Linked DNA regions of Sus scrofa. The protein of the gene in region 3 interacts with the protein of the main gene of each other region in a pairwise test. Links are inferred from orthologs where the notes say so. Each region holds a gene or a part of one and is shown on either strand. Other genes may lie near its edges. The genes, in order: TRIB3, JUNB and ATF4.

Region 1 (3,745 bases), on a different chromosome or scaffold from region 3:
GTTCATTACTGCTGAGCCACAACAGGAACTCCTCCCTTCATGTCTTTGCACTCCTCACTCCTCTTCCTTAAGATCTTAGTTTAAACATCACCTTCCTGATAAGCCCTGCTGAAAATAGCTACTTCCCAGCCATATCTTATAGAGAATAAATCTATGCTATTTATTCAAGAAAATATATGACACATCATCTATTTGAAATTATCTGGGCCTACTGATTTTATTTTCTTGAGAGTGCTCTGTCTCCCCACTGATTTATAAGATCCCTGAGGATGGGGGTGAGTCAAGCTTGTCACCACTGTCATCCAGCAATTAGAACAGGGTCTGACACAACATGAAGCAGTTAAGAATGCATAAGTCAACCCAGCACAGTCTTGCTTCAGTGAGGCCCTGGAGAGACAACATCCTGCCTTTCTTTGCCTCTTATGGCTGTAGGAGAGCCCAGTCAGTCTAGCTCCTGGTGTAGAAAATGAGTTCATTCATCGCTCCAGGCTGGGGGAGTCTCCAGGGTTAAATCAAATCCCAGAACCTCCTGGTATGCTCTAGGGCTCTGACACACACACACACACACACTCAGAGGAGCTGATCCCTAAGGTTCTGCAACCGGGGAAACAAAGCTAACTCCACCCACCTTCCCTTAACCTCTGTCTGGTGGAGTTATTTTTTGACACTGGTGAACTCAGACATCAAGGCCTAAAGGGAATTGGACCCTTGGGGCTGCACAGGGATGCTTCTCCAAACAGCTAGTGGCACCAGGGCTTCCCAGGCCAAGCGTGCAATTCCTGTTATAGGTGCCGGCTCTCCTTGAGCCTCCAGTTTCCACTCCTTTAGTATCTACCAGGTGCCGGGCGGCACAGCTCTAAGCGTTTAACATGTGTTAATTTATTCAATCTATTTCCTCAGGTAACACAGTGGGCACGCTTTGGCCCACTTTTCTTAACTACACGGCTGAAGTGCCTCTATTATATGCATGCTGTGAAGGCTACCCCACCCTAGTTCTCCCCGGGGCACAACAATTGTTCTATTGAGCTCCTAAATCCACGGCCTTTGCAGAGCTACCCCCCCACCCTGTAGCTGGGCCTCAGGCTGCTCCTTAGTAGAATGGGGAGAATGGAGCTTTCTGCCCGCCCAAGGTTCTCCTATACTGCAATGAAACAATGGCGGGAAAGTGCTTTATAACCCGGGAAGCACGCAGGAAACTATCACTGTTCTTTTTCTCTTCAGGCCCATCCTGAGAAGGTAGGATGTTCTTCCGTTTCACAGGTGGGAAAACTGAGGCCCAGAAAGGCAAAATGCTGTTTCCAAGGTGAAAGGGAAAGTCGGTGGCTCGCCTGCGGACCACACACGAGGAGCGGGGCGGGGCGCGCTCTAGCGGGGACCTCAGGGGGCGGGGCGCAGGGGATGGTGCAATCCCCCGCCGGAGGGCATCAGGCGGCGGCTGATTAGCTCAGGTTTACATCACCCGGGCCGGAGTTGAAGCCCGGCTCCCTGCGCTCCCGAGACACTCGCGGCGGAAGCGGCGGCGACTCGGCACACATTCCGGCTGCTGGGGACCCGGGCCAGAGCCCCATCCGGAGCCGACCTCAGCCGGGGCCGAGCGGCCTGGGCCATCGTGGGTGCCTGGCGACTCTTGAGCTTGGCCGGCACCAGGACCCCGCCGCTGGCGAGGGCAAGGTACCTGGCGGGAGCGGGAGGTGGTGGATAGAGGGGCGACCCGGAGCCTCCGTCCGGTCCGGGGGGCGATCTGGGCTGAGTGTTCCCGCTCGGACCCGGTGACGCGGCCCCGCGGGGCGTAGGGTCGCCGAGTGCAGCCGACGCGGGCGGGCGCGAGGGTGCGCCCCAGCGGGGCGTGGCAGCGTGTCGCCGGGACGGAGGGAGTGGGGACTGTGTTGGCCCCACGCCGCCCCCGCAGGGGTGTGTAGTGTCTGCGTTTGCTGGAGTGTGGGGCGGGCTGGGGAGCTGTGTGGTTGGGTGCGGGGAAGTCTGTGGGGTCCCTGGCGGCCAGGGGGCCTCTGTAACTGTGGGGTGTGCCGGTGCGGATCTGAGTCCGCGTGGGCCAGTGGGGTCCTGATGAGGCCGTGTCTCCTGGGCGCCCGCGGCAGGTGCTGGCGGAGTTGTGCGGAGACCGGCCGGGGTGCTCGCCAGCGGGGCAGGCGCAGGGTCAAGGGCTGCCGGCGCGCGGCGTGCGGGCGTGGCTCGCAGGTACGCTCCGCCTGGAGGCCCTGGTTCACACGCTGTACGGTGCGTGCGTATTCCGTTCCTGCCGACTGTGTGTGTTGTACCTGGATTCTGGGGTGAGGGTGGAGCGAGGCCTCTTACCCCAGACCCGGGGCCCAGTCGCCTTCCCTTTGCCCGGTCCCTGCCCCGCCGCCGACCCTCGGCTCCCGCTGAACCTTCTGCCCCGGGACGCTCGCCGCTTCCGCTCCCACGAGACTAGCCCAGCTGCCCAGGCCGGGGCGAGGCCACCTACTTCTTTCGCGCTGGGGTCGTGGCGGGGAGGGAGGGTCAGACGAAGCGTGTGGCCTTGGTAACTGTCCCGCAGTCGTGAGTACATAGTTATGAGAGCTTTGCTGGCTTGTGTATGCACATCTGCCCTTGGAGGGCGAGATGTGTGTCACTTAATGATGTGTGCACCCCTCTCTGACCTGCATGTGTGCCTTGACTGGCTGGATTGGACAGTGTTTCTGAGGGGCGTGTGTACACCTGTCTGCCCTGAGTCATGTGAGTTATATGCGGTTGGTATGACCCGCCCTTGTTCTCCAGAGAGCGTCAGAGAACAGCAAGAGATTGATACTAGCGGATGCCTGCATCCTGCTGCAGAGATTCTAGTCTTGCCTCATGACCTGCAAATTTCCCTTGCTTATCTATAGACTCAGTTACCCCACCTGTCCAGTGGAGCTTCTCCCAGGTGGTACCAGACTCTGAGCCCCGGATAAATCCAAAGCAGCCTAGGGTGCTGAGGTGGCCACAGGAGGAGGTGGGGTGCGTAGGGGTGGGTTGCAGGGCACAAAGCATCCACACAGCCAGGAATCATTTTACTTTCCAAAGAGCCATTGCAGTGAGAAGTGTCATCCTAGCCTTATCCCTGGAGAGATTTCTGAGACTCCCAAGGGTGGCACGTCAGCATATTCAGCTATTAATAATAACAATAATAATAATACTGAAATTCAAAATTCCCTTGCCTCCCTACCAAATCCCTTCCTCTCCTGGGATCTCCCAGGAGGCCAGAAGCTACTGTGGCCAATTTAGTCTGAGTCCTTCCAGACCTTTTCCTGTGCATTTCTACACCTATATATACAAATATGGAGATACATCCTCTTATATGATGGTGGGTTTTTATATGTAAAAGAGATCTCAGGTATATCGTTCAGCAGCTTGCTTTATTCACTTGACAGTGCATATATTCATTCCAGAACATTCATATGTACATTCAGTGTACACTTCATTCATCATCCTTTGTCATCCATACTCCTCCTCTCCACCTTCCATCCTTCTCCCCCTTTCATAGGAGGGATAGACACGGTACTCAACAGACATAGTGTAACGTCTCTTTTTTTCTTTTTTGTCTTTTTAGGGCTGCACCTGCAGCATGTGGAAGTTCCCAGGCTAAGATTCAAATAGAAGCTGCAGCTGCTGCTCTAAGCCACAGCCACAGCAACGCTAGATCCAAGCCATGTCTGCAACCTATGCCGAGGCTTGTGGCAGCACCGGATCCTCAACCCACTGATCAAGGCCATCGATCAAACCC
Region 2 (3,745 bases), on a different chromosome or scaffold from region 3:
CTAACCCCACCCAGAAATCCTGGTGCTTCCTCTCTCCAACATTGTCACCCCCCACACTGTTTGTCACTTCCCCTAGGAGGCCCAGTTCAACAGCCTCAGGCTTTCATAGGGTGTGGGCCTATTTTCTCAGCACATCCCCTGAAAATGAGGTACCCAGGATCTCAGCCAGGCTCAGGCCCCCCAAGACTTCACCAGCAGCATGGAGGGGGGGTGACAGAAACAGCTTTGTGGGAAACTCCCCTCGTGCCCAGCTGAGTCAGCCTGAGGAGACAAACTCTCCTCTCCTTCCTGCTTCCAAGAAAACTGAGCAGCTTCCTCTCCAGGAGAGGGGTGAGGGACCCCCCAAACCACAGAGATTGGGTAGGGAAGCTGCTGGCAAGCCAGGGTTCCTGGGGGGAGGGCCTCCGTGATTCTCAGCCTTTTCCTGCCAGCTGCCTGTCCACACCCAGGGGCAGGGACGAGGGAGTCTGGGTGCTGTGACTTGCGGGTTCTCGCCCTGGCCTGCCCACTGGCTGACTCACCAGCAGCCCCCAGCCCAGTTTTCTATTAAGGGCCCTGCCAGCCAGTGGAGCCGGCTGTGTGTGTGGGGGGGGGGGTGGGGGGGTGTCACCAGGCTATTTATAAGAAGGAGAAGTCCCTCCTGCCAAGGCCAAAAGCCCCAGAGAGACCTGTGGGTGGGGGTGGGAGAACTTCCTCCTTATCCAGTCCCCTAGGCCCCCGGGCCCTGGGCATGAGGGAAGCCTGGACACAGACTCCTTGGGCAGATGCTGGTCTGGAACCCAGGGCCTGGGCAGTCCCCAGCTGCTAGTCTGGGCACCCAGGGCTGATGGAGGAGGGGGCTCTCCTCTCTGGGCCAGCCTTGGCGCCAGTGGGACGGCGTGAGGGGGTGGTGCCCAGGCCACAAGGGTGAGACTGGCAGGGGCCTGGAACCGGCTGTACCAGCTCAGCTGGGCCCCCGCCCTCCCTCACTGGCCCATCCCCACCCCCTGCTCAAACACCCGTGCAGAGTGCAGAGAGTGACCCGACCCCACTCCAACATGCCGGCCTGCCCCCAAACACACTAGCACCCCTCTGCCCTGTGCCCAACCCTGTTTGTCTAAAGGATAAAGGAGACCTTTTTTTTTTCTCTTTCTTTTTCGGGACCCAGGTGTGGCATATGGACGTTCCCAGGCTAGGGGTCGAATCAGAGCTACAACTGCCGGCCGGCCTACACCACAGTCACAGCGATGCCGGCTCCGAGCCACTTCTGCGACCTACGCTACAGCACAGGGCAACTCTGGACATCCTCATGGATACTAGTCGGGTTCTTTTCTGCTAAGTCTCTATAGGAATTCCAGGAGACTCTTCTTGAAAGGGCCTGCAGAACTTGACAAACAGCTGGCACTGCATAAATGCCTCTCTAGTTGTGATTATCCACACAAAAAGAGCTGAAATTCTGGAGTCAGACATCTCAAGTTCTAGATCAATTCCAGTGCTTATAGCTATGTGACATGGGGCAAAGTTCCTTACCTTTCTGTTCCTAAGTTTTTTAGTCTGTTAAATGGGGATACAAAGAGCATGCATTTCGCTGGATTGTTGGAAACAGGCAATGAGTTATTCCATGTAAACCACTTAGAAGAGTGCCTGGCCCATGGTAAGAGCCATATAAGTGTTAGCTATTAAAATAATAATTATTATTTCTCAGTCTGTTGGCCTGTCTCAAGAGTCTCTGAGTTTGCATGACTCTAATCTTGCATCTCTCCCTGCCCTGACCCCCACCCCCATACATCCACTTTTCCTTGCTCAGGCCTTGCCCTCCATCTCTACGCTCATGGGCCAGTCTTGCCTCTCTCCAAGGCTCCCCTGGCACAGCCAGCTTCAGCACTGGTCAGGGATGACTCACTGTGTACTCCTAGCCTGTGGGACCTGCAGGTTAGCCTCCTGAGATGCTGCCCTCCAACCAGACCTGCCCAGCCCCCCAACACTACCCCGTTGCGCCCCCGCAGGGCCCAGCCAGATGTCAGCTGCAGTTATTAGCATGGGCGGGAGACACAGGCCTGGCAGCATGCCTGCCAGACTCAGCGGCCACTGGAATCTCCCTTGAGCCTGGGGAGGGGGAGGGGAGCAGTTCAAGCAAAGGAGGAGGGGAGGGGGTACCCAGAGGTCACAAGGACCCTCCAAAGATGGGGACACCCCCAGCTTCTCATGGGACCTTCCTCCCCAACACCACCACCGGCTCTGCTGGACTTCCCCCTGCCCCCACATAGCTCAGTTTCTCTTTCGCCTCTTTCGTTTTCCTTCTCTCCTCCACACTTGGTGAGCTGTGTCTGCCCTACAAAGGCTGGCTATCTCCTCTCCCTCAGCCTAAGTCTACCCTAAAGAAACTTCCATGTTTCCAAAAGATAGACATGTCTCTTTCAAGACAGAGAGGAGACAGATACTGAGAGGCTCATCTCTGGTTCTAGTGGCTCATAGCCTACCTCCTGGAAGTCCCACCTTAAGTATAACTAAAGCCTCAGCATCTAAACCTTCACCCATTTTGGGGAAGAGGCTCTGGAGAGGTTCCCTCAGATTCGACTCATGGATTTTCAGGTCCTCTCTGTCAGCAGGGGAAGGGAGCCCTCAGATGAGGGAGTGTGGATCCCCCTTTGGGTATTCTGGATGGTGAGGAGACCCTCACACTAAAATAGGAGTAGGGCCTCTCACCCACGTGAGTGAAGGAGGAAGCACCCCAGCCCCTAGGGATGTATTTGGGGAAGGACCCCAGATCTCCTGGCAGAAAGTAAGGGCACCCAGCATGAGGTAGGAGGCCGTCGTGCCCGCCCGCCCAGGCGCCGGGGTCGCCCAGAGGCATTGGCGCGCCCCTTCTGCGCCCATCGGGCCGGGGGCGAAGTCCGACCCAGGCCCGCGGGCAGGCGCGGACCTGCCAGGCTGGGTCGGGCTGGGCAGGGCCTGGCAGGACGCGGCCCCAGAGCGGCTGGGTGGGGCTGGGCCAGGAGGCCGTGGGGGCCCCGGGGGCGGCGGTCGGGGCTGGTCGGGACTAGCCGTCTGGGGGCCCGGGCGCGCCCTGGGACCTGGCAGATACTCGGGCTCCCGGCTCCTGGCCGGGGGCCCCGGGACAGTGCTGACCCCACCCCTTCCTGTGCCCTTATATGGGCGTCAGAGAGAGACTCCGGGGGCCGCCCCGCCCCCAGTCCTGCCTGCGGACTCCGGCCTGTTGCCTTGGCGACCAGGCCCCGCTCCCCGGCGCGTCCCCCTCCGTCCGGCTAATGGAACCGTCCCCGGATTGCTAGCCTTTACGACACTAGGGCTGAACCACTGCAGGGGTGGGGGTCGATGACTGGGGACCTCTGCGGTTGGGTGTGTTCCGCTCGCTCTGACTTCCTCGGGGGTCGCAAGCCCAGGTTCCTCTTCCGAGGCGCAGGACCCGGCTGGACCCAGGGCGGGGCATATGGTCCCGTAGGATTCGAGTGACGGAGGCAGGGCCCGGCTCCTTCCCCCGGGGCTGTTGCCACACTTCCTGCCGCGGCGCTCTTTCCCCAGCCTGTTTCTAAGGAAGAGTGGGGTTGGGCGACCGCGCCCCGGCCGTCAGGCTGGGTCCAGGCACCAGGAGTCTTCACGGTGTCGGTCAAGCCGAGGATCACTGGGGGAGGGCTTTGGGGGTGGGGAGAGAGTATACTGGAACTTAGAGGTCACTCACGAGAGGGGGCGCCCATCATGGAAGATCTAGCAGTCCAGGTATCCTGGATCCTCAAAGACCCTTCCT
Region 3 (3,745 bases):
GGACACGTTGCCCTTCCACAACCTGGAAAGAAAAGAAACGTCTCCTTTCCAACAGCTTTGACTCGTGTGTGTGGTGGGAAATAGTTTCCTACGTGAGTGGTACTGGTGCATCAGAGTGCTTGCTTGGGGTCTCCATAATAGAACGGATGGGGTTATTCCACTCCTACGGTGTCCAATTGGGGCAGTGTTACTTTACTTCTTAAGCATCTGCATGGACATCCATCAAGAGGCACTGACAAGTCTCCCATACAGCAGAGAGGAGGACATGCCCCGTGGCTCCTTAATGACACCTTTGGAAGACTTGGGTAGTGGCTCGGGGGTAGTGGCTCGGGATTCTTACTGTCTTTGCACCAAAAGACCAGATGCCTTGTACATGTTTCCAGAGAATTGAGATTCCCCAAGGGGAAAGAAAAACCATACCTAGTATCCAGTATGCTTTCCTAGACCAGCTGTTTATAGTTGTTGATTTCATCTCAGTAAATAACAGTCCTCTGAGGGAGCAGGATATGATGGGGATGGGAGGTGGGTTAGAAGACCTGCGTTCTAGTCACAGGAGTAATGGCAACCATTTATCCAGCACTTACCAGGTACCAGGCGCACGGCTCAGTGCTGTGAATATATTATCTTAACTTCATTCTAAGGATGAGGATACCCATCATTAGCCTCGTTTTACAGATCAGGAAACGAAGACTCAGTGGGGGTAAGTCACTTAACCAGAATGTCTCCACTAATAAATGGGAAAGCCAAGATTTTTTGGAATTGGCCCTTAAATCTGTCATAACTCCTACCCCATACTGCCCACACCAGGCAAGACATGTCATGCCTTTAGTCATCAGCTTACCACTGTAAAGAAATGGTTGGGCTAGACTGACTCAAATCAATGAATGGTTAGTTGTTATGTAGGAAGTGCCTGACCAATTTTTGACCTCACTGTCCTCATAGAAATAATATTTGTAGGGCCCACTGAAATGAAGGGGAGTGGAAACTCAAGGTTTCCCTACAGGGCCTGATTGGAGGACTGGAAGATGGTGAAAGAGCTTTCTCCTAGCTCTTGACAGTTCCCCAGTAGAGAGGGCAAGTTACTGGCCCTAACCTGGACTGTGGCCTCCAAACACACAAATTCCCCTAAGTGGGCAGGTCTGATCAAGCACCCAGGCAGTAGGACTTGCTGGGAAGTGGTTATGCCGCGGAGTTACAGAGTTGGTAAATAATTGAAACTACCCTAGAGTGAGAAAGAGCAGCTAAATAAAATACCTCATTTTTAGGGGAAGTGAAACTACATAAACTGAAAGAAGTTCCCCTGTCATAGGTTTCATTCTTTAACATAAAAGGAAACTTGTATTTTAGCAGAATGGATATGTAAAAATACAATTGTTTAGACCACAGGATTATGGATTTCCTCCACTCGACTCGCCTCTACAGAGTTGAGTCAGGACGCAGAGCAGGCCTTTGATGGTAGGTGGATCTCAGCTGAGGTCATCAGTCTCCCCTTCCAGTTACTGAAGGGTTCACACGTCCTCAGTATTCTGCAAGTGTGTGCAAGTGAAAACAGACGAAATAACATTTACTCTTGACTAGTTTCACATTCGGGCCTAAACCCGGTCCCTAGTTCGGAGCTTCTCCAAGGGCGGCAGGAAAGGACCACGAGGATTCGGACCTAACGCCACTATTTGGATCTGGGCCAGGGCTGCCCGGGGCAATCAAGGCCAGCTGGGTGGGCGGGGCTGAGGGAGCCTTTGCAGAGCGGCGCTACGGCGAGCAGGACGCCGGGGCCCGGCGGCGGGAACCTCACCCACCTTCCCGCGCAGATCAGGGGCTCCCTCGCTGAACAACCCGCCCGCCTCGGAGCCTGAGCCAATAGAAACTCGATGTATATATGACTCACCATGCCTAACCAATCATTTCGACGCGCGCTCTCCGCCAGTAGCTCGCGCGATAACCAGGAGACCTCGTACTTCACAATAAAAGCCCTTCTTGGGGTGAAAGACTCGTCTCCGCCTCTCGGGCTAGCACCGGAAGTAGCTGTGCAAGATCCTTCCGCGCATCCCGGCAGCGGACGGTGGTGATCCTTAGATCTCAAAAGCCTTGTAAAGTAGTGCGCCCTTTTTTGAGGCTGTAAATAAAAGTAACTCATTTGGTCCTCACAGTTTCGCCCTCGACATAAAAGTCAGAGACTGGAAATGGTAGGGGCGTCGGTTAAATGAAAGCGCGTGGGTGGGAGGCGCTGGTCACGTGACCTAGGCGGAAGAATATTCTCTGTGATGCGTCCCACAGAGGCAGAGTCTATAAAGGACCCGCGCTCGGCGAACCGCCGCCATTTCTTTTCCTCTCCGCTGTAGATGTAGTCCTTTTCTGCGAGTGGGCGCTTTTCTTCCTCCGCTCCCGCAGGGTCCGCGGCCGCCATGGCGTATTAGAGGCAGCAGTGCCTGCGGCAGCATTGGCCTTTGCAGCGGCGGCAGCAGCACCAGGCTCTGCAGCGGCACCCCCCAGCGGCTTAAGCCATGGCGTAAGTACCGGGGCCCGACGCTCTGGGCCGTGTCCCCCCGGGTCGGTGAAGGGTTCTTGTCTGATGCTGGGGCGCGGTCCGGCGGCGTCGCGGAGGGGGAAGCGGTTTTACGAGCGCCCGGGACGCGTGGCCGCTGATGGGGTGACGCCGAAGCGCCAGCGCCCCTGGGTCGAGAGGCCGCTGCGCTGTTCGGGCGTGGGGCGAAGTCCTCGGTACCTCCGGCCCCGGCCGGGGGGCCGGGGCTCCCCCTGGGGCTCCACGAAACGTGGCAGCAGCCAAGATGGCGGCGGGGCAGGGCGGCGGCCGCGGCGTGAGTCACGGGCGGGCGTGGGCGGGGCCGGACTCGGCCGGGAGGACCGGGCGCCTTCCTCTGGTGGCGGGTCGGGGAACGGCCGGGCGTCCATCTTGCGCCGCCAGGCGGACGCGGGGAAGGTTGGCAGCCGGGGCCAGCGGCCCCCAAGTCTCAACAACCACACGGGGTCGGGATTTGGCCGTCCTGCCCCGGGGGTGGAGAGGCGAAAGGCTCAGACCAGCTGTTCTCTAATGGGGCTTGGTTTCTGGTTCCTGTTAAGGCTTCTCACGGCATTCAGCAGCAGCGTTGCTGTAACCGACAAAGACACCTTCGAATTAAGCACATTCCTCGATTCCATCAAAACTCCGCAACATGGCCGAGATGAGCTTCCTGAGCAGCGAGGTGTTGGTGGGGGACTTGATGTCCCCCTTCGACCCGTCGGGTTTGGGGGCTGAAGAGAGCTTAGGGCTCTTAGACGAATATCTGGAGGTGGCCAAGCACTTCAAACCTCATGGGTTCTCCGGCGACAAAGCTAAGGCGGGCTCCTCCGAATGGCTGGCTGTGGATGGGTTGGTCAGTGCCTCAGACAACAGCAAGGGTGAGTGGGCTTTTCCCTGCCGGTGGGGTCTGGTGATAAAGCCTTGCTGCCGCGTGCATCTGACTCTGGGTTCCGTCCCTCTTAAATCTCTTGCAGAGGATGCTTTCTCCGGGACAGACTGGATGGTGGAGAAAATGGATCTGAAGGAGTTCGACTTCGATGCCCTGTTGGGTATAGATGACCTGGAAACCATGCCAGATGAGCTTTTGGCCACGTTGGATGACACATGTGATCTCTTTGACCCCCCACTCCAGGAGCCCCCGCAGATAGTGAACCCAATTGGCCATCTCCCAGAAAGTTTACCAACAACTGACCAGGTTGCCCCCTTTACGTTCTTGCAAACTCTTCC

The links.
Region 1: the proteins of ATF4 (region 3) and TRIB3 interact in binary tests that used the Homo sapiens proteins (3 or more experiments, as listed by UniProt). The link is inferred for Sus scrofa from reciprocal best matches to the Homo sapiens genes ATF4 and TRIB3.
Region 2: the proteins of ATF4 (region 3) and JUNB interact in binary tests that used the Homo sapiens proteins (3 or more experiments, as listed by UniProt). The link is inferred for Sus scrofa from reciprocal best matches to the Homo sapiens genes ATF4 and JUNB.

The regions. Positions count from the first base shown.
Region 1 is NC_010459.5:34,817,224-34,820,968, reverse strand, and holds the start of TRIB3 (tribbles homolog 3), read left to right. Parts: upstream 1-1,376; 5' UTR 1,377-1,671; intron 1,672-3,745. UniProt on the Homo sapiens protein: Inactive protein kinase which acts as a regulator of the integrated stress response (ISR), a process for adaptation to various stress. Inhibits the transcriptional activity of DDIT3/CHOP and is involved in DDIT3/CHOP-dependent cell death during ER stress.
Region 2 is NC_010444.4:66,216,833-66,220,577, reverse strand, and holds the start of JUNB (transcription factor jun-B), read left to right. Parts: upstream 1-1,142; 5' UTR 1,143-3,745. UniProt on the Homo sapiens protein: Transcription factor involved in regulating gene activity following the primary growth factor response. Binds to the DNA sequence 5'-TGA[GC]TCA-3'.
Region 3 is NC_010447.5:8,743,615-8,747,359, reverse strand, and holds the start of ATF4 (cyclic AMP-dependent transcription factor ATF-4), read left to right. Parts: upstream 1-1,607; 5' UTR 1,608-2,506; intron 2,507-3,078; 5' UTR 3,079-3,170; coding exon 3,171-3,396; intron 3,397-3,492; coding exon 3,493-3,745. UniProt on the Homo sapiens protein: Transcription factor that binds the cAMP response element (CRE) (consensus: 5'-GTGACGT[AC][AG]-3') and displays two biological functions, as regulator of metabolic and redox processes under normal cellular conditions, and as master transcription factor during integrated stress response (ISR).